Linked DNA regions of Oryctolagus cuniculus. The protein of the gene in region 2 interacts with the protein of the main gene of each other region in a pairwise test. Links are inferred from orthologs where the notes say so. Each region holds a gene or a part of one and is shown on either strand. Other genes may lie near its edges.

Region 1 (3,500 bases), on a different chromosome or scaffold from region 2:
TCTATATAATTTTTTTTAAAGATTTATTTTATTTATTTGAAAGAGTTACAGAGAGGTAGACACAAAGAGGTAGAGACAGAGAAAGAGGTCTTTCTTCTGTTGGTTCACTCCCCAGATGGCCACAATGGCCGGAGCTGCACCGATCCAAAGCCAGGAGCCAGGCATCTCCTGCGGGTCTCCCATGTGGGTGCAGGGGACCCAGGAGTTGAGACATTTTCCACTGCCTTCCCAGGCCACAGCAGAGAGCCAGATTGGAAGAGCAGCAGCCAGGATCAGAAGCAGTGCCCATATGGGATGCTGGCGCTTCAGGCGTCAGCCCACTGCACCACGGTGCTGGCCCTGATTTCTATGTAATTTAATAGTGGGCCAACACACAGGAGAAGTCATAAAAGTTGAGAATATAGTTTTAGCTTATTCTTGTACAAAATAAAGCATTAATTCCTATAACTGATCTTTCCTGAGTGCCCATTATGTATCTGATAAAGGATGGGATATATAGGACATAGGGCTCCATAAAAAGGTAAAATATTTTTATTTGTTAAGGAACTTGTAATAATTCATAGGGAAGGACATAGATTTTTCTTTTATTTTAAAGGTAAAAATATAAACATATATAAGGAAGACAAATTATACATAATCCTATATTCAGATATCTAAACAATATTCATGCAAAATGTATTTACTTCCCTGTCTCATTTTTTTTAACTTTATTGAATGTAGATCAAGAGGATACAAGTTTATTGTTTATTCTTGTGTTCTTATAGATACTGTGGATGGTAGGGAAGAAAAACCTACTGCTTCTGATTCTTCTGGAAAACAGTCTACTCAGGTTATGGCAGCAAGTATGTCAGCTTTTGACCCTTTGAAAAACCAAGATGAAATCAATAAAAATGTTATGTCAGCATTTGGCTTAACAGATGATCAGGTTTCAGGTACGTGAATACCTGCATCCCTCCCATATTTCTGTTTCTTCCTGTTTTTCTCCCTTTCCTTCTTTAATAGATGAATAACTTGCATATGGTTCAGTGAACAAATCATTAAGAATTCAGTCCAATAAAGTTTGACAGTTGTATACACCTGTGTGAAATACCAAACAGATCAAGGTGCAAATGATTTCCAGTACTCCAGAAAGCCTTTTTGTACCTTTACCCAGTTCAGTAGCATTCTCCCCTTTAAAGAAGAATCACTATTTGAGCCAAATAAACTTTACTGAAGGTAAAATTTGAAGAATTGTTTTGTAAAAAAATTTGAACTATGTTGTGATTTTATTTCACATTTGTTGCATGGCTTAAGTTATATTTAATAGGTTTAATTATCTCTTCTGACCTGACATTCAAGAAATTAGATTTCTTGTTAACTTGCTTTACTGGGTATGTTAGCTTTGTGTTACTGTAATTAGATACCTGTGTAAGAACTTGAATAAAGAGACAAAGTTTATTTAGCTATGGTTTTGAAGGTTCAAGAGCATGATGTCTGCACGGGCTCAGTTCTAACAGAGGCCCCAGCTGTAGTTACAAAATGGTAGAGCTTGGTGTGTAGAAGAGCCTACATCACAAAACTGGAATTCAGAGAGAGACTGGATCCCATGGTCCCTTACATGGTCTTTGGTTACCTATCAAGTCCTACCTTCCAAATGTTCCAGCACTTCACAGTTACTACCCTGGGGAACATGCTCTTAATTATTGGACATTTGGGAGAACGCTCAAACCATAGTGGTGTAGAAAGTGCTATTATATGAATTAGTGTTTAACCTTAAAAAAACACCTATGCTGGGGTTTGTACTTTATTTTTTGGCCGTCATGTCTTCATTTTTCTGCTTGTTTGTCTCTTTGGGGATTCTAATTTATACACAAAGAGCTTGATATTGTCTCCTGACTCTCTGAGGTTTACATTTCTTCAGTCTTTTTTACTCTGTGTTCTTTAGACTGAATGATTTCTATTGAACTTTCTTCAAGGTTGCTGATTATCTGTGCTATTTCCAATTTGCTGTTGAACCTTTCTAGGGAATATTTTATTTCAGTTGTGCTTTTCATCTCTAGATATTTTTTATAGTTTCTATTTTTTTCTGTTTGATAGTTTCTGCTTTTCTGTTGAGATTTGTTAACTTACGTTCATTAAGATATTTTCCTTTAATTCTTTGAATATATTTTTAATTCTTTTTTTTTTTAAAGGATTATTTTATTTATATGAAAGGCAATCTTCCATCCTCTGGTTCATTCCCCAAATAACTGCGATGGTCTAGGCTGGGCCAGGCTGAAGCCAGGAGCCAGGAATTCCATCTAGGTCTCCCTCTTGGGTGCAGGGTATCCAAGTGCTTGGGCCATCTTCTGCAGCTTTCCCAGGAACACTAGCAAGGACCTGGATTGGAAGAGGAGCAGCTGGGACTTGAACCAGCTCTTTGATATGAGATCTGGCATCTTAGATGGCAGCTTAACTGTTGCACCACAGTGCTTACCCTGTTTAATTCTGTAAAATGTCCATAATAGCTGCTTTGTTGTTTGCCTGCAATATTCAATATCTGGGCCCACTGGGAATCAGTTTCTATTGACTGCTTAATATTCCTCCCCCACCCTTGGTATGGTTGTTTTTTCCTGTGTCTGTGTCTGTCTGTTTGGTTGTAAACCATATATTGTGTTTAATATGTTGAAGTAACTTGTGATTCTCTATGTTCTCTTAAAAGATTTTTCTTATTCTAGCTCTAGTAGGGAGTTAATTTCTGTGTGTGCAGACTATTCTCTCTTTTCTTCACATGGGGCTCAATCCAGCTGTAGGTGCTGCTTTCTTCTGAGCTTTCTGGGATGTCCCCAACCCTATCCTTCTGCTGTTTCACTCCCCAGTGGCAGCAAAGACTAAGGCTGGGTCAGGCTGAAGTCAGAATCCAGGAGCTTCATCTGGGTCTCCCATGTGGGTGGTGCAGCTTCCAGACCATTAGCATGGAGCTGGATTGGAAGTGGAGCAGCTGGGACTTGAACTGTCACCCCCATGGGATGTTGGTGTCACAAGTAGTGGCTTAACCTGTTATGTCACAGTGCTATGTTTATTAATTTGGAAGAATTTTTTGTAAGTTACAGTGCTAGACCTTGTGAGGCAGACAGAATCAAGAAATAGGTATCTGACTAAAAGAACTCGTAGCTTAAGAAGGAAGATGGGAGATGTTCAGAAATGTAAAATAGACATTGGATCATAATAGAAAGTAAACTACATTGAAGCTCAGTAATGGAAGAAAGTATTTGTGAATCAATAAAGCTTACTAGAAGTATGTAATTAAAAATGGGTTTTAAAGAATTGCGTATTTAAATATGGAATGTTGTATTTAAATATGAGTGAATTCTTCAGAGAGTTCATGGAAGACATGAAAAAAACTGTAGATTTCGGACCTTTTTGCGTCAACATAAACTTTTAACTCCATTTTCCTTTAATTTTTTTTTTTTTTTTTTTTGACAGGCAGAGTGGACAGTGAGAGAGAGAAACAGAGAGAAAGGTCTTCCTTTGCCGTTGGT
Region 2 (3,500 bases):
TCAGCCTGATTTATCTTATCTGTTATTCATTGCTTTAGGGCCAGATAGCATAAGGGACATACTCAAGTCGTTTTGTAAGCCTTCTGAAGGAAGCCCCTCCGCGGGTCAGGTCCGCAGGTTGCGCACTGGCAGGCTACGGGCCACACACGTGCCCCTGAAGATCTTGGATCAGCTGTGTGTAGCAGGCACCGGGCCGGCGTGGACTAGAGAATTGTCTCAAGCTGGGGCTTGAGACGCTCTTGACTTTTAAAAAAGGGCTCAGAACATCTTAAAATAGTCTGGTAGCTAAAATAACAACAACAGCAGCAGTAATAGCTCGCCATTCCTGAGAATGGCTGTTTGTTTAAAATCCAAGGCACTGGGTCTGGCAGGGGTTAGTTTCCACTAGCTGGGCTCCCACAAGAGTTTCCCTAATGGGAATCAGATGGCCTCGTCATGACCGGAAACACGGGGGTCTGGTAGGCGTGCTCAGCCCCTCAGCGAGGACCGCGGGTGCTGTGGGCTGCACCTGCACAGCCTGGGACCCTGCAGCAGGTGGTGTGGGCCTGGTCGTCAGATGTGCTCGGTCCACTCCTGTGGCCTGCTGGCTCCAGCCCCGGCCCTAGGCAGAGGGGGTGTGTTTGACTGCCTCGTGGCGAGGAGATGTGTGTGAGATCATGTTGTGCCCCGGGAGGGAAGGCGAGGTGAATTCACCTGCTGAATGGACTCGCCCCCGCCAAGCAGCCCCGTGCCCCAGCAGCTGGCTCTCCCCAGCCCCCCCTCCCTTGTTAGGGGGACCCTGCCGAGCCCCCGAGTTTCCGAGGGAGACGGCAGCCCTGAAACGGCTGCCCAGGTGCTGGGGAGGAGCGAAGCGGCGCTGTTTTAGCCGTGGCTCACGAATGACTTTGCCCAGTCTCCTTTCCCTGCCTCCCTCGGCAGTCCCGGGGAGCGTCCTTGGTTTCGGATTTTGACAGGTGATAAAAGCACATCTCCAGATTGCTGCTCCGCGGGCTCCAAATCCCTCGCTATCGACCGCCGGTCTTTTTGCCGCGGTGGAGGGGCTCCCTCGCGGGTTTGCCATTACTCTTAATGGATTGCCCCCCGATACGGGGTGAGGCGCCGGCCCTTGCCCCGAGCTCTGGCAAACTGCAGCTTGACCTGACTGCAGCTGGAGCTGCAGGAAAACATTTAGCCCCGGCAGTTGGCAACATACATCACTCTTTTCCCTGGAAAATGCAGTCGGTGGAAACGGCAGCTGCAAACCCTGTTCGGCTTCGTTACAGACACTCACGGCTGTTCACGTCCACGCTCTGGATTCTTACCGGAGATGCCTTGTGGCTACAGCGTTGGGCCAGGTGCTCTGTAGCGGGCTCTCCCCATGCCGACTCGACTCTCTTCTCCCTGGAGAGAGCCGCATTTGAGTTTGCGTGGGACCATTCCTACAGTATGTGGGCTCCCCAGCAGCAGCTGGCAAGACGTCAGAGTGTCCGAGTGGGCCCAGGCCAGTTCCGGGCCTGATTCTCAGAGGGTCCAGCGGGCTGGCGGTGCTGGCTGCCCCCCGCCATGTGCCTAGTTCTGTGTCTGCCACTCCCTGCCTTGGAGTCCAGGGAACCGAAGCCACTGGTTGTTCAGGCCTGAGAGTGATCCGGCTTCCGGCGCTGCCCGGGACTCGGGGTTGCGGGTGTGGGGTTTTCTGGTTTGAAAGCACTAACTCTTCCCTTATTCTTTTCTTGCAGATGAGCTCACAGTGCCTGCACTTTACCCCAGTAGCCCTGAAGTGTGGGCCCCGTACCCTCTGTACCCAGCGGAGTTAGCGCCTGCTCTACCTCCTCCTGCTTTCACCTATCCCGCTTCACTGCATGCCCAGGTAATCGATACCCATCGGCCACGACTTCACTCCGCCCGTCACCAGTCCTTTCCAACCTGGTCCCTCCCGGAGCACACCGTACCACTAACACCTATCCGGCTAACAGATCCACCTTCAAGAGATTAACGACCCCCCCTACTCCCCTAAATCCGGCTGGCACTGCCCAGGACTGATGAGGACGGTCTGAGAGCAATGATCACCCACTGCCTGATGTTTGTCCCCAAACAACACCTCTCTGCCCCCTTCGTGACCTCACCCTCATGGCACACACGAGAGCGCGGGGCAGCGTCACCTCCCCAGCTGCCAGCTAGCCAGGGGGCGTCACCGGACCATAGATGCGTGTGCCTTGCCGGGTGGCAGGAGGGCTGTGTGTGTGTGTGTGTGCGCGTGCGTGCGTGTGTGTGTGTCTCAAGGTTTCCGCTTCCTGCTCCATGAGAGCGTGTGCCCCGGGGGAAGACTGCGCTGTCTTCTGTGCGTCCCAGGAAAGGTTCCCATTTTGCAGGAAACCCCACAGGAGAGGCCCCGTGTGTTGTCTAGAACGTAAGGACAGGTTAGGGCGGAGTCCTCCTGTCCGGCTCTTCTCTCAGCTAAGAATAGCCCGAGTCTGAGAAACAAACTCCCGTGTCTCTGCTCAAAGATGACCGTCCACACACTGGCGCTCCCTCTCCCCAGGGGGACAAGGTTTTCTTTTAGTGGCAGTAATAGTGATCCAGGTTAAGGTTCCACCTTTGGGAATAAAAACCACTCAGTGTCTGGCCTGCAGAGAGTGACGCTTGATAGCAAATAAGCAGACGGGATGTAAATGTCCTTTGTCCTACTGCGTGTGCCAATCAGCCTGGACAGGTGGGGGAGGGCGTTGTTTGTTTTTCTTAGGGCTTGTTTATAAGACTGCATGAGGTAAGCAGCTTCCCAGAACCCTCTTCCTCCCGACTTAATACTCTCTTGATGACGGCAGCGAGGGTCCCTGCCAGGCGGCCTCGCGCCGTGCGTCAGCTGAGTTGTGGGTGCTCTGGGCAGGTGCAGGCTGCTCTCCCAGTGCCTCAAGCACCTTACAGGTCAGCTCCAAAGACGAGCCCTCGGCGCTTGGGCCCCCCAGCAGCCAGCCTTCGGAGGAGGAGGTAGAGCGTGGCATGAGTAGTGGGGATTAAAAAAAAAAAAACAAAAAACAAAAAAAAAGACAGTGGTAGTGAGAGTGCCTGGTGCAGAGGAGAGCAAAGATCCGCTGTAGCTTTCGCTCTCCGTCCCATGTCAGTGCTTGATGCAATCCTCAGAGACTGGCAAGTTATGTGGGGCGGGGGGCACAGCACGGAAATCCAGGGTTCTCTCTTGCACCAGGTGCCCGCTGTGTTGGCAGTGAGCTGCGTCCTTCTTTGTGGGTGACCTGAAGCAGCCACGGGAGCCCCTCTTGTGTGTCTCCCAGTGCCCCAGCTGTGAGCGGTGTGTCTCCTCTCCTCTTGCCAGGCTGCCCAGAGCCTGCTCAGTTGGCCATTAAGGCCCATGTCAGTGAGCACCGTGAAGCAGCGCGCGCTGCCTTGGTCTCGTGGACATCCATGGTCACCTAGAGCAGAGCCTTCCTCCGTGACCCTGGGGAATTGAGAGTGGACAGCGCCCAAGAGCCGTGGGGGGGGTGGGGGGGGGGCTTTGGGCCAGACAG
Region 3 (4,228 bases), on a different chromosome or scaffold from region 2:
AGCGCTCCCACCTGGCGACCCCGGCTCCCTCGCAGGAGAAGCGGCCTCCATCTGGCCCATTCGGCCGGGAGTTCCAGTTCAGGTGTTCCCCTAGGGCCAGGGAGGCAGAGGGCAGAGGCCGCCGGGTCCCGACAGAGGCCGCCCTGTGGCTGCCGGAGCACTCGGCCGCGCGAGCCGCTCTCCCAGCCAGAGACAGCGCCTCGGCCGGCCGCTGGCCCTTCACCAAGACGGCAGGCACGGCAGCCCCGGGGCCTCACTTGGCGAGGCAGGACTCCACGCCGGGAAGCCCGCATAGACACGGCCTGGCGCGCCAAAGCCGCTTCCAACCTGCCGTAGCCTGGAGCTGAGCGCACTCGCTCAAAATAATGGACATCGCCGCCGCAGCTCCGGTGTTAAACACCGGCAGGGTCAATTTTGAGAAAAAAATAGGAGGTGGGGGAGTGGGAAGAGGAGGAGGAGGAGGAAGAGGAGGGAGAGGGAGAGGAGGAGGAGGAAGAGGGAGAGGAAGAGGGAGAGGAGGAGGGAGAGGAGGAGGGAGAAGAGGAGGAAGAGCTTTTACTCGGGATGAAACTCGCGCTCCGGCGGCCGGCGGAGTCCACACGGCCCCGGGGGGACCCCCAGCACCGGGGGCCAGGCCCGGACGCACCCTCGCCGGAGGGCGACCTCTCGGGGCGCGCAGGGGCTGGAGCAGGCGCACACTTCGGGAGTCCGCCGCCGCGCCGAGGGCCAGCCGGGCAGGGGCCGCGCCGCCCCCGAGGCCCGGCGGAGCCCGGGGAGCCCGGGGAGCCAGGGCTGCGCGCCGCGGCGGCCGCGGGCAGGAAGCGAGAGTTTACCACCGGAACGCCCCGCTCGGGCCCCTGGCGGACGCCGGCCGGCGCCGACCTATTTCCCGGGCGGTCTCGCCAACTGCGCGGCCCGGGGGCCCCGAGCGTCGGGAGGGAGCGCGACCCCACCTCCACAGCCTCCGCCGGCAGGAACGGGAGCGCGGCGTCGCCGCACGCGGAGCCCGCGGCCGGGGCTGCCCGCTGCACCTGCCGCCGCCTCGGGACTCGTGGGCGCGCCCGCCCGCTGGGCCTCAGGGCGGGGGCCCTGCCCGCTCGCACCCGCCGCGCCGGGGCCCGCAGCGGCCGGCTGGGGCGCGGGCCGGACCTGGGCCGAGGGGCAGCGGCCGGGAAGCGCTCGGGGGCCGAGGCGCCGGCCACCTCCGCGGCCCGTGCCCGCGGAGACGCCGCCCCGACACTCACCTGCCCGCTTCCCCTTCCGCGCAGCGCGGCGCCTCACTCGCGCTCGGACCCCACCGTCCGCCTCAACCAACCCGGCGGCGGCGGCGGCGGCGGCCGGACGGGAGGGCGGGACGGCGGCCTGAGACGGCCCCGCAGCCGCGGCCCAACCCGGCTCCGCCCGCCCCCGGACTCCGCCCCCGGGCCGCCGCCGCCGCCGCTCATTGGCCCGCGCCGCGCACGCATGGGCGCGGCTCCGCCCCGCCGCCGGGCCGCCGTTCCGCCCGGGATCCTCCGCAGCCATTGGGCTGGTGGCTCCCGGGGGCCAGAGCGGCCAGATCAGCCGCCGCCAGCCCCGAGACCACCATTGGCTGGACTGGGTCCACGCCATAGCTCTGATTGGACAACTGGCGGCTCGGGCCCCGCCTTCGCACCCAAGTTCCGTTAGCAGGTTCGGTTGCTCCCGAATTCCCTTTCGCCATGGGGGGCGGGGCCGTCGGGCCGGGCACTTTGGCTGGCTCCTCCCCCTGCACGCAGCAGCTGCTTACCGCGGGGTGGGCGGGGAGCAGAGCCCCCGGCTCGCTAGTTTTTTTGGGAGTTCTACTTTCTTCTGATTGGTTGGCAGGCGCCTGTGCGCACCGCTCCTCCGGTCGCTCGTTTTACGTTGCGCGACGCAGCGCGATGACGTAGAGTTCCCAGCATTCCACATCCAAGATGGCCGCGGTCGGCAAGGAGAGACGTAGCTAAGGGGCTTGCCTGAGGCGAGGGGTGAGTGTCCTACCGACTGCGGGCTGTACCGCCCCGCTCCCGCTCACCCGGGGGTCGGAGCAGGGTGTGGCCACCCGCCTCCGTCCGCGCGCGGAGTCTCTCTTCCCTGATTCCGGACCCCGCCTCTCGCCTCCTGTGCACGCTGAAGTTGGCGGGCTTCGGCAGAGGGGCTGAGGCGCAGGGGCCGGACGGGGACTCGGGGTGGGCCCTGGAGCGGGCAGCCGCGCTCCCTGCGCGGTCCGGTTGGGGTTCCAGGAGCTCCCTGCGGTGGCGGAACCGGGCAGGGGTTGCAGCCGCGGACCGCCCACGCTCCCCGCAGCGGACCCTGGACGCAGCGGGGGTGGGCCGGCGGGATGGGAAGAGGCACTTCCGCGATGAGATTCGGGTTGGTTTGTTAGCTCAGGAACTCGGGGCGTGGGTCCGGGGGTTAGCGAGGGCGCTGACAGCTGTGGCCCGTTCAACGGAGCTCTTGCAGACCCCGGGAGGTTAGGGACGACTGACCGGGGCCGTTGCTGTCCGGCCTGTCGCGTTTTTAAGGTGGTACCTCGAGCGAAACCGCCCTTCAGCGAGTGACGCATTAGTCGTGCGTGTTGGTGGATTCTTGCCTAAGTCGTGTTTCACGCGTGTGCTGTTTGGAAAATGCAGTTTGCACCAGCAAGCAATAAAGAAACATTTGAATTGTTTATGCGATTCTTAAGATTTGAATGCTCTTTTTAAGTTCAGTCTCATAAAGCAAAAAAAAAAATCACTCGTAGTTTTGGAGTAAGGAATGAGCTTCGTTTTGGGAGACTGTGGAAAGCGGTGAGTTTGCTGAGTGTCTGAAGGAAGGGAAATGAGGACTGGGCGAGGACAAATACCTGCCGGGTCACTGAGACGGCGGAGCGGATCTGGTTGGGTCGCCTCATTCCCGGGTTTAAGCGCAGATGAAGTTGCGCACGCGGAGGGGCAGAGTCGGTTGTATACGCTTGTCCGTGGCTTTGGAGGAGCCCCAGATGTGCAGTTGTGATGGAAAACTGAGCTCCGGGGCGTGTCCGTTCTCTCGGAGACGGCTCCCGGGCGCTGCTTTGTCACCCGTTGTAGAATCTCCCGCAAGCGCTTGGGAAAGGAGAGCGGAGCCCCTCGGGCCTGCGGGGCCGGGTGACTCAGGCCCTGGTGGTGGCTGCGGGATTGCTGGACATTTGGGCGGCTTGGCTGACGTTGTAGTCGGATGGATGGGCGTCCGCTCAAATTACCAAACCCGAAGCATTTGGATGTGAGTGTCGTCCTGAAGAAGAACGACACTACATTTACAAAAACTTAAATTTACACCGAAATTTGCAAAATCTCAGTTGTGAGTATTTGAGATGAGGAGGAACTGGCTTGACAGGAAATGGTTCCGGGTTGTGGTGCTCCGTTCTGGAGGTAAAGTAGTGGCTGCACTGAGGGAAGGCAGTATCTCAGTCTGAAGTGAAGCAAATTGTGACTGCCGTTCGCCAGCGGTGTGCACCGGGCAGGTTACTTCGTGTCTCCTCGGCTGGTTTTCTCCGGGATCAGCTGTAAGGGTAAGACAGGTAACTTGCCCCATAGCTGCAGCTCTGCGGACACACCGTGGACGTGTTACTCTCAGACCACCTGTTACATAGATCTTACAGAGTTTCTTTTTTTCTCATTTTGATGGCTAATATTTAGAGAAGACCTAGAAACCCTGAGAACCCTTATGGAAAAATGGTTAATTTGTTTACCTTGGAGAAAAGAGGGGTAGGCAAAATTGTCTTCATATATTTCAAAGGCAATCATTAGGTCAGAGAAACTGTTTCCAAGGCTTTAAAAGTCTCTAGGTGGGAGTGATGGAGAGTTCTTACAAGGTAGTTATTTTGTGCCATCTATGTAGCAGATCTAGGGAAGGAACGGAACACACAGAGATCAATATAGGGCTGGTCCTGGTGTGGCAGGTTAAGGTTCCACCTGCAACATCCCATGTGGGCACTAGTTCAAGACCCGGCTGTCCCACTTCCAATCCAGCTCCCTGCTAAGGTGCTTGGGAAAGCAGTAGAAGATGGCCCACCCGGCACCCACACTGGAGACCCAGCAGAAGCTCCAGGCCCAGCCCCAGCTGTTGCAGCCATTTAGGGAGTGAGCCATCCGATAGAGGATTGAGCCCTTTCTCTGTAGAGCTCCCTTTCAAATAAGTAAAACATAAGTACTTTTTTTTCCCACAGTCCAGTAATTTATTTTAAATTGGAATAACTTCAGATTCCACA
Region 4 (3,500 bases), on a different chromosome or scaffold from region 2:
GCACTTCTTTTGCAATTGTCTTTCTTATCCTTGACAACATTCTGTTTACGCCTAAGGAAATTGGAAATAATAACCTGCTTCTCAAACTGTTTCTCCTGATAATTTAGTGATACCTTATATAAAGTTTGTTTGTACTTAGAAGCTCTATAAAGGGTGGGATTTCATATGCAACTATTGTATCCTTAGCATCTGGCTCCATTCCTATACAGAGTAGGTGTTCAACAAGTGTTCATTATAGGATCTGTCATTTAACCTAGTAGTCTTATTCCCAAGCTGTGTGTGTGTGTGTGTGTGGTGGGGGGAGGGAAATAATTCATAAGGTTTGTAATGTTACCATGGCAACATAATGCAGTTATAGTTTCTTTAAAGAGAAAAATTTATAACACTGTATTTTGTAATTTTTTTAGGAGGAGCAAAATAGAGGCAAACCCAATTGGGAGCATCTAAATGAAGACTTACATGTTCTAATCACTGTGGAAGATGCTCAGAACAGAGCAGAAATCAAGCTGAAGAGAGCAGTCGAGGAAGTGAAGAAATTATTGGTACCTGCAGTAAGTAGTTATTTCCAAATCTTAAATTTCGGTCTCACTTCTCAGGGTTTTTTAAATTAATGGCTGTTTAGTCTAATGGAGAATAGGTTATCATTTTTTAAAAATTTATTTGACAGGTAGAGTTATAGACAGAGAGAGAGACAAAGAGAAAGATCTTCCTTCCGTTGGTTCACCCCCTAAATGGCCGCTACGGCCAGCACTGTGCCAATCTGAAGCCAGGAGCCAGGTGCTTCTTCCTGGTCTCCCATGCGGGTGCAGGGGCCCAAGTACTTGGGCCATCCTCCACTGCCCTCCCAGGCCACAGCAGAGAGCTGGCCTGGAAGAGGAGCAATCGGGACTAGAACTTGGTGCCCATATGGAATGCCCGTGCTGCAGGCGGAGGATTAACCTAGTGAGCCACGGCGCCGGCCCTGAATAGGTTATCATTTAACCACAAAATATAAAAATAATTTATAGCTCATTTAGTGCTAGTCTAATGGGCAAACCATAGACATTGCTGACATTCTTAACTGGGAAAGCCTTTTCATGTGTGTATATATATATATATATACACACACACACACACACACACACACACACATATATATATGTATTTAAGATTTATTTATTTATTTGAAAGGCAGAGTTACACAGAGAGAGGAGAGAGAGAGAGGTCTTCCATCTGCTGGTTCACTCCCCAGTTGGCCGCAATGGCCAGAGCTGCGCCAATCTGAAGTCAGGAGCCAGGAGCTTCTTCCGGGTCTCCCACCTGGGTGCAGGGGCCCAAGGACTTGGGCCATCTTCTACTGCTTTCCCAGACCACAGCAGAGAGCTGGATTGGAATTGGAGTAGCCAGGTCTCGACCCGGCGCCCATGTGGGATGCTGGTGCTTCAGGCCAGGGCGTTAACCCACTGTGCCACAGCGCTGGCCCCCATTTTCCCATAAATTTTTGTAAAGAAGTTATGCAGGAAGTAGCAGACACAATATGACTTCTCAAAAATGCTGTCTTTTGAATCACTATATTTACGAGGAGAATGTAGGCACAGCATCAGCAAGGTAATGAAAGCTGTTCTTTTTCAAAAGCTGTTTCTTATTGTGAACAAGTAGTAAGTTTGTAGATGTCTCTACCACTAACTTTTATGCAAGGTAGGTGGGATGTGTTAGTAGGAGCATGTAATTTGAATTGTCTATGAGTGACAGGTACTCGGGGTAGCATCTCATTATCTCTTATAGAAAGATTAGTGAACATTAATTGAAACTTTCCCTTAATGTAATAAAAAGTCATCTTAATAAACTTAAACGATAGCTTTTACTAATGTAAAGCATGATTCAGAGCAGCTTTTTAACTTTACTATTATTTCTATGATCATAAAACTATTGTATTTCATATTTAGAGGTCGTAAATAGGATATTGAATGCTTTTTGAGGGTGACATCTCGTAAGAAATTACTCAGACACAATTTTGTGTTCTCTTCTTTCCCTCCATTCCATTTTCTTTACTCTTCTCCCTTTGGGTGTGCTTCTCATTAATAGGTAACCCTTTAGTAATTTTTAAAATGGCGATTACAACTATTACTAGACTATTATCTTTTTCAACAGGAAGTGAAAATTACTGGTTTTCTGAGTCACTATTAAATTTTGTTTTACAATAGTAAGAATACATGGAAGGATAGACCCTAATTGCCATTGAAAAACTAATAACACTGTTAGTACTTTGCCCACCAAAAATGTATTAACATTGACATAAATGAATATGGCATCTGCTGTTTTTATTTTCCAGATAGTCTAATCTTTATTACCCTGCTAGTGTCTTCTAAAAGTAAACTCACCAATTATATACACTTTCCATTAACTTTACAAAATTAATTCCTTGGAAGGAAAAATTTCATTTAAGTTCTGTTGACCTTATAAGGAATACAAATAAGTAGGTTGAGCATAAATTAGAATTTCTGTTTGCCCACTATTATACCATGTAATTGTATAACTTTTCTTTAATAAATGTGTTGTATTCAGTAAGCTATATAAAAAAATTTTTGTAAGCATATTGGGCTATTAGTTCCACCTGGATGTGTAAGTAGGAGAAATTTCCAACTTATTTGTATCTGTTTATGTGTTTATAAAGTGAGAGTCATAGCAATCAATCTCCAAAGAACTTTTTGTTTTACATTTATTTATTTTAAAGATTTATTTATTCGAAAGTCAGAGTTACGGAGAGAGAGAGAGAGAGAGAGATATCTTCCACCCAATGGTTCACTTTCCAATTGGCCGCACTGGCCGGAGCTGTGCCGATCTGAAGCTAGGAATCAGGAGCTGCTTCTGAGCCTCTTACACGGGTGCAGGAGCCCAAAGACTTGGACCATCTTCTGCTGCTTTCCCAGGCCATAGCAGAGAGCTGGGTCAGAAGTGGAGCAGCTGGGTCTCAAACCAGCTCCCATATGGGATGCTGGCGCTACAGGCCAGGGTGTTAACCAGCTGCGTCACAGGGCTGGCCCCAGAACTTTTTGTTTTAAAAGTGGTTTGTCTTTGAATATGAAAAGGTGGTAGGGTAGTTCATAAAAAGAATGACAGAAACTTTAAAAAGCTTAATTTATGTCCTGAAGGAGAAAATTTCACTTTTGATGATAAACCTATTTATCTTCTATAGAAGAATTTAGTATTGTTATTGAACAGATTGTAACAATTTTAAATTGTGCTTTTTGAAATTACTTACAGTGAGGTAATAAAACTTTCTTAGAATTATAAATCATAGGATAAAAAGTACAGACTTTTTGGTTTGGCTTCTATCCAGTGATTTAACACTTGCAGTAATTTCTTATTTATTTTATTGAATATGTTTATTATGACATGAATACTGTATTAGAGAATTTGTTTTAATTAAGGTGAACATTATTAAATATTTGGTGATACCAGGGTTAAGCAGAAATTTAAACAAAACAAAACCTCTCCATAATTGATAATTACTGTCTTTG
Region 5 (2,377 bases), on a different chromosome or scaffold from region 2:
GCTTTAACCAGCTAAGCCACGGCGCCGGCGGGAAGGCGGGCCTGTCTCGCGGCACATCAGCTGTTTTGAGACACCATCGACGAGGCTGCGGAGAGGCCCGGCGCCGCGTCCTTCCACCCCCGGCTCGCCCCTGCCCCTCGGGGTCCGGGCTGGAGGTCAACGTCCCGCCCAGTTTTTCCCCATGGGTGCAGGACAACGGGTGCCCGTAGCACCTAGGCTGACGCTGCCCGAGGGCCTCCCCTACCCCACCCCCTCGGTGTGGTGACCTCAAGGAGCCGGGCCCCTTCCATCCATCTCTCCTTCCCGGGACACCAGCTGAGGCCATGCGCGGGCGAGCGTGGAGTCGGAGTTTGGTGCTGACGTCTGCAGCCGTCAAGGGCCCTCAGTGGAGGTGCAGGGAGAGCAGCGCCCACACCCTCAGGCAGCCCTCCGGGGGAGCGGGACCCCACCCCCCGCTCCAGCTCCCCGCTCCCAAACTTCATTCCACAAAGTCCTGATGGTTTTTGTTTTTCCGGTTTTGTATTACAAAAATAATAACAGACACGATATCAAAAACACAAATGCCATTGGTAGAGGGAACAGCTGAGAACGCCTGGGTCCCACCTGAGGGGCAGCACCAGGGACTCCGTGGTCCACCAACCTCCCCCACCCTGGAGCAGCTAGGGGCTCGAACCCCTGGGTCCTGCTTGGCCCTCAGTCCCTCGGCCCACGTGGGGAGGAGGTGGGAGAGAGAGCCATCTCCCCAATAAATAAGTGCAGTGAACCCTCGGGCTGACGCTGGGGCTCCGTGGGGTCCGGCGGGACTGCTTGAGCAGCTTGTCAGCAACCTGGGCTGGGGCAGGGCGCGCTCCTCACCAGGGGTGGCAGGGGACACCCCTCCAGGCTGCGCTGGGGAGTTCCACCCGCTGTTGCCTAACAGGACAGAGGCAGTCCCTGGATCCCGGGCTGGTGATGGGTCCAGCCCCCGCCCCCGACGAGCTGGGGCCGTTTCCTATTGGTCTGGCCACCTCTGGGTTCTGACATGAGGACACAGAAGGATGCCTCTCCCCGCCCAGAGGTGGCCCCCGGATGGAGCCTAGCTGGTGCCATTTTCCTCGGCGGGTAAGGCTGGACCAGATGAGCTCCCACCTTGCTCCTCCTCCTCCATGGCTGAGTCCTGGGAGCCGGAGACCTTGGCCTCCCCCTGGGCCCGGGCCTCCTCACCACCCTCACCCTCACCCTCACCACTGCCGCCACCGCCGCCGCCACCACCCTCGCCTCCACCCTCCTCCATGGGCTCCAGCCCCAGTCCCTCCAGCTCCGAGAAGACAGGGTCCTCAGGGTGGCCGGGGTCTTGGGCGCTACTGCCGCAGTCCACACAGGCCTTGGAGAGAGAAAGGGGGTACGAGTGAGGCAGGAGGCTCCTCAGGGCTGTCCGCCAACCCAGCTTCCCGGCCCCGGGGCCCAGCGGTGCTTCCCAATGTGTACCTGGGGTCCTACTGGCTACCCAGATGCCACTAGGGGACCATCACCACGGGCACGGGCAAGAGCAGGTGCATGGCAGTTCAGCCACGCCACCCAGCAGCTCATGGAATTCATGACCCAGCCCTTACCCTTTCTGCCTTGAACTTGTGCTCAATCCCCTGCCAGCCCCCCGCCCCCAGACTTCTCTCACCATCACATCAAGGGCCCGAGGCAGCTGGCCCTTCCGGACCCAGGAGTGCACAGCCCCCAGTTCCCGCCGCTGGTCCTCGGAAAACCGAGGCTGCTGTTTCTGCATGGCCCGGAGCCGCTCCCGGTCCTGCTTCAGCACGGACGCCACGTCCCTGCCCGGGGAAGGTTCGAGGCAGAGGCTAGGATCCAGGACCAAGGCCAGGCGGCCAGGACCCCCGAGGCTGGCAGTCTGCCTCTAGCAACCTCCCCGCCCACTACCTCGTGCTCCTCCCCTCAGCTGGGGCGATGGAGGCTCATGGCTCTCGGAGCCCAGGCAACCTGCTCTCAAGTCGGGGAAACTACTGATGGGGCTCCAGGGGGCCAGGGGCTGGATGGAGCCTCCAGGACAGAGTCCCAGGGAAGAAAACTCCACGTTAGCTGGGGAGGGAGGGTGGGCTGGGGCTGCCTTCCCCACCACCTCAACAAGGGAGGTGGAAGAGGCCTGGGACCCGCCTCACCTGGAGGGCACCTGGTAGGTCATCATGACACGCTGGTCAGCATTGGCCATGAGCAGCCAAATGGGATCCTGGAGTACATACTTAATGACCTGGTCTCCAGGCTCGGCCCTGGCCCGCGCAGCCCCAGCCTCTGCCTCTGAAGAGTCCACGCTGCCGAAGTACTTGCTCGTGTGGCTGCTCTGACTGCTGCCTGTGAGTGAGGGGCAACCGCTGAGTGGGCTGCCCGG
Region 6 (4,273 bases), on a different chromosome or scaffold from region 2:
GTGGCTATCTGGGGAGTGAACCATTGGATGGAAGACCTCTCTCTCACTACCTCTCTGTAACTCTTTCAAATAAATAAAAAATAAATCTTTAAAAAAAACTTGGGGGGCGGGGAGAGGAACCCAATTAAGGGGCAGTCAGCTCCTCCTCCTCTCTGCACAGGGGTCCCTCGTCTGGCTGGAACTTGTTCCAGCTGGTTTGTCAGCTCCATCCCGAGCGGCTTCCCTGCCCTCCTTCCCCTCTTCATTCTGTTATGCAACCACAACTGCGGGGCCTGCTTCCTGCACCAGGAGGAATTGTCACGCAAAGCAATTTATCTGCAGCAAAAAAAGGAATCTGAGGGGAATCTTCCCAAAGCCTCCGTTGTTTTAGGAGGACTGACTATGTAAGAAGGGGCGTTCTTGTCAGAGGGAGGGGTGGGCTCCAAGGTAGGCTGCGTGTTGTGGTGATGAGGCTGACGCTCCTCCAGGGGCCACGCTCGGGAATGACAGGTGGATGCCCTTAGCGCCGTCTGCGCCAGTGCTCTCCTGCCAGGTAAACGAAAACCTGAAAGAGCTTTGGACGCCGTCAGCTGCTTCCACGGTTTCCAAACAGAAGCGAGTTCCAGTAAAGACTTCTGGGCTACTGAGGGCACTGGCTGGTGACAGTCCCTTCTCTCTGCGCGTCTGCTCGCACCCGTCACACACACGCGGAGTTGTGCACCTTTCTTTCCCCACTTAACCGGAGAGCCCTGAAGCTCCGATCTGTCCTTCCCCCTTAAGTCCTTTAACGCCTGTCGACGGGATGGATGAATCAGTGAGGAAAGCCGAGCCAGGCCAAGGTCTGCAATGGCAAACCACCAGGTCTTTAAAAACAGCTTCCTTAAGGCGTAGCTCGCAGGGTCGTGCGACCAGCACCACGCCGTAATTCTGAAACACTTTGTCCCCTAAATCGGAAACCCGTGAACCAGGAGCGGTCGCTGCCTGCTCGCCACCCTGTAGACCCCGGCAACCGCCGATTCCCCTTTCTCAGACGGACCGCAAACCCTCAAAAACCGCCCCTCGTCTCGGGGACCTGCAGGAGCACCGTCCGGCTGGGTCCGCAGTGTGTTCAGAGCTAGATCCCCGCTGCCGAGGCGGGGCGCGGCGGTCCCGCTCGCCACCCTTGCGGTTCGCCGTCAATCCCCGTTAGCTGCGAACGCTCCGTCGGAAAACCGGGCTAACTGCGAAATCCCGCACCGCTGCGAGCAATTGTGCTGAGTGCCCGCCGCCCAAGACGTGTGAGCGCAGGGTGCTGGGGAGAGCAGCCTTCCGCAGCGTCGAGTCCTTAGGCGAGTCCTCCGCGGACGGTGCGCGGGACACCTCCCGCAAGCAGCCCGCACTTTCCCGAACCCGGTCGGGAGCGGGCGCGGGCGTTGCCGGGCAGGAGCGCTTCCTCCGGAGGCGCCGCGTCCGAGTCGCGCGCGCAGTGACGCATCCGGCGCGCGGCGCGGTGCACGCTGGGATATTTAAGTCTTCTCCGCGGCGCGGAGCCGCGATGTCTCCGGCGGCTGCGGCGGCTGGAGGCGAGCGGCGGCGGCCCATAGCGAGCGTCAGGGCCGGCCGGGGCGCGGGCGGAGGCTGGGGCCGCGGCGGGCCGGCCTGGGCGGCGCTGCTGGGCCTGTCGCTGCTCGGCCTCGTGCTGTACCTGGTGCCGGCGGCGGCCGCGCTGGCCTGGCTGGCCGTGGGGGCTACCGCGGCCTGGTGGGGATTGAGCCGTGAGCCCCGCGGTTCGCGCGCCGTGTCCTCGCTCGTCCGGAACGCGCGGCGCCAGCGAACGTTGCTCGCTTCGCCCCCGGCCAAGGCGGCGGTAAACGGCGATCTCCTAGAGCCGCGGACCTTACTCGAGGGACCCGACCCCGCCGAGCTGCTGCTCATGGGCAGTTACCTGGGCAAGCCCGGCCCGCCGCCCGCGGCCCGCGCGCAGGAGGGCAGGGACCTGCGGGAGAAGCCGGGCCGCAGCCCGCCCGCCCGCGCCGGCGCGCCCGCGCCCCCGGCGCCCCGCACCCCGCAGGCTTACCCCTCCTTCTCCTCCCCTGTTCTCCGACCCAACAGGCGACCCTCCTACAGGTAGGACACGCGGCCCACGGCCTCCCCCGGGCGGCTCGGCCTTGCCCTGCAAACCGCGACTCGCGTGTGGTTTTGTGCTTTTTACCGAAAACCGTGGTGTGTGCTGGCCGCCCCCGGGCCTCCTATCCCTGTAGGAACGAGAGACCGTGTGGCCAGAGCTCTCCCTCCCACTTGCAACTCCTGCACTTCAGTGTGGTCTTGATTTATCCGAATGTTTAGTAACCCCCGACGTGTCCCTGCTGGTCCTGTCGCGTGCTGGCTGCGGCCTCGTCTGGACCAGAGGTTCTGTTCGCAGAGCTCCGGGAGGGATTGGAGGCAGCACCTCTCAGATTTAGTTAAAGAAACGTTTTCGTTTGGTTCCGGTAGCCGACAAAAGGGGGATGGGTTAGATTTTTGGTGCAGAAGGCGTGCCTGGGAGTGGGTGCGGTAGAACCCCTCCCTGCACGCCCCGGCCGCACACCGCCCTGCCACTGCTCCCTGACTTGTTTGGGCAAGGTTTTAATTTCCCTCTCAGATGGTTGAGGTCTGAGCCCGTGCCACCCTCTGCCCTCAGCTGGAATGGGTAGGGGGCGTTGCCATAGAACCATGGTGGTGTGGGTCGCCTGGGAATCGCGCGGGCTCACGCGGGCCGTCTCCGTTGCCGGCAGGGACTGTGGGACTTTATCGAATCGGTTCGTAATTACGCCCCGAAGACGCTACCCGATCCAGCAAGCCCAGTACTCGGCGCTGGGAGTGCTTCCCACCGTGTGCTGGAATGGTTGTCCCAGGAAAGCTGTGCTCTCCGTGCGCAATTCCAAGATGGTGTGTAGCCCAGTGACCGTGCGGATAGCCCCTCCCGACAGCAAGCTGACCCGTCCTCCGCTGTGAGTACCTCCGTCTGCGGCCACCACCTTCCGCAGTCCTGCTCGTGGCCAGCAGCCGTGGAGCCAGAGGGAGTAGCTACTTATCTGAAAGAGAAATCCTAAATTCTAGTGGAACGCCCATTTATCATGGTCTTGCCGGTCGCTTTAGGTTCTGGGGGCACTACACTCTGGCGAGTCGGTGGGCCCCCGGTTTCCAGGGACCGCACCTGTGCCGTTCGGAGTGGGGAGGGAGCATCTTCACTGTTTGGATCTCGTCTTCCATTCCAGCCCCGGGCAGACCGTCGACGCAGCACTGGCCTCACCGGCAGCCAGCGCCCCAGACCCGTGTGCGAAGGAGACTGTGCTGAACGCCCTCAAAGAGAGGAAGAAGAGGACGGTGGAGGAAGAGGACCGCCAGTCCCCAGATGGCCTGGAGAATAAGAGAAGGTGACAGGGCAGTGGGTGCTGACAGGCTCACGGGCCCGCAGCTCCTAGCAGCTTCCGCTGGAGAGCCTTGGCTACTCCCCAGCCTGGCTTTCGGAGAGGAGCCTGGCGACAAGGACAGGTAGAGGCCGCCCGCTTCCCAGAGCACAGGGCAGATGCGTTTTCCTGCGTTTTTTTTTTTTTTTTTTTTAAAGATTTATTTTATTTATTTGAAAGAGTTACAGAGAGAGGAAGAGACAGAGAGAGAGGTCTTCCATCCAATGGTTCACTCCCCAGATGGCTGCAACAGCTGGAGCTGTGCCGATCCGAAGCCAGGAGCCAGGAGCTTCTTCCTGGTCTCCCACGCAGGTGCAGGGGCCGAAGGACTTGGGCCATCCTCCACTGCTTTCCCAGGCTATAGCAGAGAGCTGGATCGGAAGTGGAGCAGCCGGGACTCGAACCGGTGCCTATACGGGATGCCGACGCTTCAGGCCGGGGCTTTAACCCGCTGTGCCACAGCGCTGGCCCCAGCTCCTACATTTTGATACAGATGTGTTCAGTTTTCTTTTCACACCTTGCCCTCACAGCTGTGTGCTTGGCAGTTATTTGGGTAATCACCAGTTAAATCCTGTATTTATGCTGAAGGAAACGCTTGTCCAGGAACAGTGAGCACCAGAGTAAGGCAGGCGGATCAGCGATGAGCGTGAAGCCAATTTCCCTATTTGGTTTTCATGCTAATGTAGTAAAAATGGAGTCTGTTTCCTGAGCGTGGGCAGAACGGAGGCTGAGTGGCCAGTTGGGTGCAGAGCACTCTGCGGCTGCCCAAGGAGCCACTTCAGGATTTCGCTCAGTTTCCGATTCAACAGGCACTTCCTGAGCACCCACTGTGTGCTGGGTCACAGTCCAGGCACCGTGGACAGAGC
Region 7 (4,094 bases), on a different chromosome or scaffold from region 2:
CGGTGTTGCGCACGGGGCGCGGGTCTCCAGGCTTAGAGCCGTGCTGGTACGGAACAGCTTCTAACAGTGATACGCTCGGCTCTCTTTGACCAGGGTTGGAAACTGTGGGCAGCAAGACAAGAGCTCAGGGAGCAAATTCTGGAAGCGCAGCGCTTTTAGTCGCTTCAGTTGCGGGCGCGTAGGTGAGGCGACCGCATAGGTGAAGACAGCTTGGTCCTAGCCCTGGGAACCACATCGTCCTCGCCAGGGGTCCTCCAGGCCCCCGGGGCCTCACAAGGCTGTGATGGAATAAGTGAGATTTCGTCGTGAGATTGCCACAATATCGATAAGTATGTATTTTTAAACAGTTGTGTTTAGAGAGCGTTGGCAACGTCGGCCCCGCAGTTACGAAAGCTGCAGCTTGAAGGATGTCCAGGCAGCAGAGAGATCCGCAGGTTCTTGGCGACTCAGGCGCCTGGCCCGCCCAGCTCAGCTCCTGGCCCTGGCCAGCTAACTCCGGCGCATCTCGCCCGCCTCCTTCGGGGTCCCCATCCGGACTCCCTTCCCGCCGGCCAGGTCCCCCTGCAGCCCTTGGTGGCCTGGGCGCGCCAAGGCTCGTCAGCACACGGAACGCCCAGTGACCCCTCGAAAGTCCAGAGGCTCCGGGACACGCACAACACCAACCGCAAGAGCTCCAAACCCGGACCAGGGTTCCCGCGCTGCCCCGGAATTCAGGGCTGGCTCCCGGAGGACTTAGCTGGAAAAGCTCCACACCAAAGTCCTAGATCTAAGCCCCTCTCCGAAACACGGAGCCTGGGCGAGTTTCAAAGTAAACTGGTTTGCAACTTAAATGAGACGTTTCCACCCCACCCCCGTCCCAGCGCCTTAGCGTCAGGTTCCCTTGGCTTCCCGGCTCGGCTCAACGTTGATGTCTCGGTTCCTGGCTCTGTCGGAGAGGGGGTGACTTTACAGAGGGGGGCGAGGAAAGGCGGAGCGGCTGCACCTGAGCGATTATAAACGTGCGGGATGCTGGGGTCGGGCGAGTGCCTTCAGCACCGCAGCCGGGGACAGGGCTCTGCCTGGCTCCCGAGCTACAGCGCGCAGCTTCTGGATTTTTATCTCTCTCTCTCTCTCTCTCTCTCTCTCTCTCTCTCTCTCTCTCTCTCTCTCTCTCTCTCACACACACACACACACACACACACACACACACACACACACACACACCTTTCCTTTTAAAGAGAGAAAAGCCGCCGTGCGCCCCTCTCCTCTCTTCTCTTTCAGGATCCCGCGCGGAGAGCGCGGGCGAAGCGCACCGATGCCGGTGGACGCCGGGCAGAACGCGGACCCTGTGTGCTCCCATGGGATGAAGCTCACCTGGGACATCAATGATCCGCACATGCCCAAGGTGAGAGCGGCACGCGTGGCGCGGTCCATCCAGAGAAGGGGAAATGGCAGAGACCCTGTGAGCAGACCCCCCCCCCCCCATTTCTGAGCGCCCTCACACGCAGAGGGAATTTCTGTATTCTCTACAAAAGATAGATCTGGGTTTGGGGCTGTGTCTTCTCCCCGCGATTTCCTTGTGCGCTTGTCTCAAAACACAGCGAAGGCAGCAGGAAAAGGCCATCAGGAGACAGTAGACTCCCTCACTTTCCTTTACCCAAGAGAGAAATCAAATGCCTCTCTGCTCCTCCACTTATTTGAAATCCAGTAGAAATTGAGGGAAGAATCTCAACAATGTAAATACCACTGCTTCTCTCGCATTCAAACTGTGAAAGAAGGCTGTAAATGGAGGCGACTTGAATCTGAAACAATTTATTCAGCCATTCTCTACTGCCTGGATGAAGGAAACTCCACAGTTACACTCATGGGGCCATCAGCATAGTCATTCTTTTAGGGTGAATTTTTTGTTTTAATGGGTGGGAATAGAGAGAATGAACTGGGAACTGAGCAGTACCCTTGGTGATGCTGGTTCAAGTCAAAAAGTCCTGGTTGCAGGTGAGGGGACCATGGGAGTTGCTTCCCCACACATTTGTGAAGGTAGACCTGCAGCAACATGGTGGCACAGGGTCAAGAGACATAGCATTTATTTATCTTCTATTATGTGCCAGATGGGTGTTCAGAAGAACAGCATTTCATTGGAATGCAACATGTCTTTGGACGTGCACTTTGTAGTTTGTTTCAAAGTCTACCTACTTCAGTGCTGCACTGTGCATCTGTGCACAAGTGGACCACAGTCCACACGTGTGTCTCGTTCTTGCTGACTTCTGTCCACATAAATCCTCATGGAAAACATTCTGAACTTGTATTTTAGGTGAGAGTCACCTCCAAATATGCAACAATGGCTCATCTCTCAAGGATTTTCTTTTGCTTGGGAGATGGGTTCTTCAGTAGGGAATGTGTGTAACATCTCAAATGCAACAGACTCATTGGAATAGTGAAAGAAAATAGAGGAAACGTAGCAAGCTAGCACTGCTCTGCCTAACCAAAGGAGAAGCTAAACAGGCTCCCTGACCTTGAGAGAGTCCTTGAGTTTGCCTTAGTCTCAGAGATGGACCTGTCATCAGGTGGAGGAACTAGATAACCATCTCAGCTCTGCCTTGGCCCTACAGTCCTGTTCTCTTTGTGTGTATCTCTACACATACAAGCATGTCAGAGCGAATGAAACCCAATCCTGCAATCCTTTGCTGATGTTTTGATTTTCAAATAACCTCCTCTGTGTCTTCACCTGCCGTGTCCCTGGCCCCGTAGCTGGGTGAACTCTGGGGCTCAGTCTGTACCGTCAGGGGGGGTTCAGTCTGTACCGTCAGGACAGAACTCAGGGTATACTCTCAGTGGCTGGTTTATTACTAAGATGCTAAAGTTGAATGTTCAGAGATACTCGCGTTTAATAAAAACATGGAGTTAGCAGCATGAATACATCACTTGGGACTTAACCTTAAATCAGTATATTAATTTATGCTAAGCTGGCAGTCTAGAGGAAAGCTGTCTTTGCTTCTCTGATGTTCTGCAGACATTGCTGATTATGTTAAAGTCCATTTGGTTTGGCATAGGGCATCAAGAGCTTTTGGGAAAAAAAACACACTGGGCTGTAATACAGATTTTTCCAAGGATAAAGTTCATCCCCATGATAGAGAATTGCAGTCCCTTTTTTACCCTGGCACTTTCACACTCCACTTGAAAATCGCATTTAAACAAACCAAGAACTGGTAAGAAACATAGGCTGTGGAGTCCAAGTGCCGGGGTACAAATCCTAGAGCTGGGTCTTGTGAGCTGTGTGACCTTGGCCACGCCAACTGACCCCTCTGATGTCCATGTTCTAGTGGGTAAAATGGGCAGAGTAGTACTTCCTGCCTGCACATGTGGTAAAGGCTAGATGAATTAATACAGTGTAGCGTTTAGGAGACAGGCAGTGTATACTCACCAGTGACTAGCCATTTGTCCCAAAGGCCAGGAAGAGCAGCATTTTGTGGTGGTATGGTTTGGTGTTTTGCAACATTTTTTGGATTGAACAATAACCTGTTCTTCTTCTAATGGGCTTGGAGAAAAGGGCGGTGCGTGTGCTTGGAGCCCGGCCGAGTTCAGCACCTGTCTTCACAGGAGCCAGCCCACTTCGACCACTTCCGCGAGTGGCCCGACGGCTACGTGCGCTTCATCTACAGCAGCGACGAGAAGAAGGCGCAGCGCCACCAGAGCGGCTGGGCCATGCGCAACACCAACAACCACAACGGCCACATCCTCAAGAAGTCGTGCCTGGGCGTGGTGGTGTGCGCGCACGGCTGCGTCCTGCCCGACGGCTCCCGGCTGCAGCTGCGACCGGCCATCTGCGACAAGGCGCGGCTGAAACAGCAGAGTGAGGGCGCGGCGGGGCGGGGCGGCCTGGGAGTCGTGGGTCCTCTCCCCCATCTTCCCGCAGAGCCCAGGGTCTAATCTCTCTCCCTCCGGGGTTTGCAGAGAAGGCGTGCCCCAACTGTCATTCGCCTTTGGAGCTGATTCCTTGTCGAGGGCACAGCGGGTACCCTGTAACCAATTTCTGGCGGCTTGACGGCAGCGCCATATTTTTTCAGGTAGGTGAGGTGAGACTATAATTCGTGATGGGCATGGAGTGTAGCTCCGGT

What was found.
Region 1: the proteins of RBPMS (region 2) and TFG interact in binary tests that used the Homo sapiens proteins (3 or more experiments, as listed by UniProt). The two-hybrid records come from large-scale screens. The link is inferred for Oryctolagus cuniculus from reciprocal best matches to the Homo sapiens genes RBPMS and TFG.
Region 3: the proteins of RBPMS (region 2) and CCNK interact in binary tests that used the Homo sapiens proteins (3 or more experiments, as listed by UniProt). The two-hybrid records come from large-scale screens. The link is inferred for Oryctolagus cuniculus from reciprocal best matches to the Homo sapiens genes RBPMS and CCNK.
Region 4: the proteins of RBPMS (region 2) and QKI interact in binary tests that used the Homo sapiens proteins (3 or more experiments, as listed by UniProt). The link is inferred for Oryctolagus cuniculus from reciprocal best matches to the Homo sapiens genes RBPMS and QKI.
Region 5: the proteins of RBPMS (region 2) and PER1 interact in a two-hybrid assay, tested with the Homo sapiens proteins (2 studies listed by BioGRID). The link is inferred for Oryctolagus cuniculus from reciprocal best matches to the Homo sapiens genes RBPMS and PER1.
Region 6: the proteins of RBPMS (region 2) and POM121 interact in binary tests that used the Homo sapiens proteins (3 or more experiments, as listed by UniProt). The two-hybrid records come from large-scale screens. The link is inferred for Oryctolagus cuniculus from reciprocal best matches to the Homo sapiens genes RBPMS and POM121.
Region 7: the proteins of RBPMS (region 2) and GCM2 interact in binary tests that used the Homo sapiens proteins (3 or more experiments, as listed by UniProt). The link is inferred for Oryctolagus cuniculus from reciprocal best matches to the Homo sapiens genes RBPMS and GCM2.

What each region holds. Positions count from the first base shown.
Region 1 is NC_091435.1:55,298,795-55,302,294, forward strand, and holds part of TFG (protein TFG), read left to right. Parts: intron 1-764; coding exon 765-932; intron 933-3,500. UniProt on the Homo sapiens protein: Plays a role in the normal dynamic function of the endoplasmic reticulum (ER) and its associated microtubules. Required for secretory cargo traffic from the endoplasmic reticulum to the Golgi apparatus.
Region 2 is NC_091433.1:80,573,674-80,577,173, forward strand, and holds part of RBPMS (RNA-binding protein with multiple splicing), read left to right. Parts: intron 1-1,715; coding exon 1,716-1,846; intron 1,847-3,500.
Region 3 is NC_091451.1:43,336,013-43,340,240, forward strand, and holds the start of CCNK (cyclin-K), read left to right. Parts: upstream 1-1,428; 5' UTR 1,429-1,671; intron 1,672-1,768; exon of another isoform or gene 1,769-1,988; intron 1,989-4,228. UniProt on the Homo sapiens protein: Regulatory subunit of cyclin-dependent kinases that mediates activation of target kinases.
Region 4 is NC_091436.1:5,210,496-5,213,995, reverse strand, and holds part of QKI (KH domain-containing RNA-binding protein QKI), read left to right. Parts: intron 1-407; coding exon 408-551; intron 552-3,500. UniProt on the Homo sapiens protein: RNA reader protein, which recognizes and binds specific RNAs, thereby regulating RNA metabolic processes, such as pre-mRNA splicing, circular RNA (circRNA) formation, mRNA export, mRNA stability and/or translation.
Region 5 is NC_091448.1:52,634,356-52,636,732, forward strand, and holds the end of PER1 (period circadian protein homolog 1), read right to left. Parts: intron 2,341-2,377; coding exon 2,151-2,340; intron 1,806-2,150; coding exon 1,655-1,805; intron 1,364-1,654; coding exon 1,076-1,363; 3' UTR 501-1,075; downstream 1-500. UniProt on the Homo sapiens protein: Transcriptional repressor which forms a core component of the circadian clock.
Region 6 is NC_091450.1:50,673,903-50,678,175, reverse strand, and holds the start of POM121 (nuclear envelope pore membrane protein POM 121), read left to right. Parts: upstream 1-1,473; 5' UTR 1,474-1,513; coding exon 1,514-2,085; intron 2,086-2,732; coding exon 2,733-2,948; intron 2,949-3,215; coding exon 3,216-3,374; intron 3,375-4,273. UniProt on the Homo sapiens protein: Essential component of the nuclear pore complex (NPC). The repeat-containing domain may be involved in anchoring components of the pore complex to the pore membrane. When overexpressed in cells induces the formation of cytoplasmic annulate lamellae (AL).
Region 7 is NC_091436.1:159,772,536-159,776,629, forward strand, and holds the start of GCM2 (chorion-specific transcription factor GCMb), read left to right. Parts: upstream 1-1,294; coding exon 1,295-1,384; intron 1,385-3,576; coding exon 3,577-3,829; intron 3,830-3,930; coding exon 3,931-4,043; intron 4,044-4,094. UniProt on the Homo sapiens protein: Transcription factor that binds specific sequences on gene promoters and activate their transcription. Through the regulation of gene transcription, may play a role in parathyroid gland development.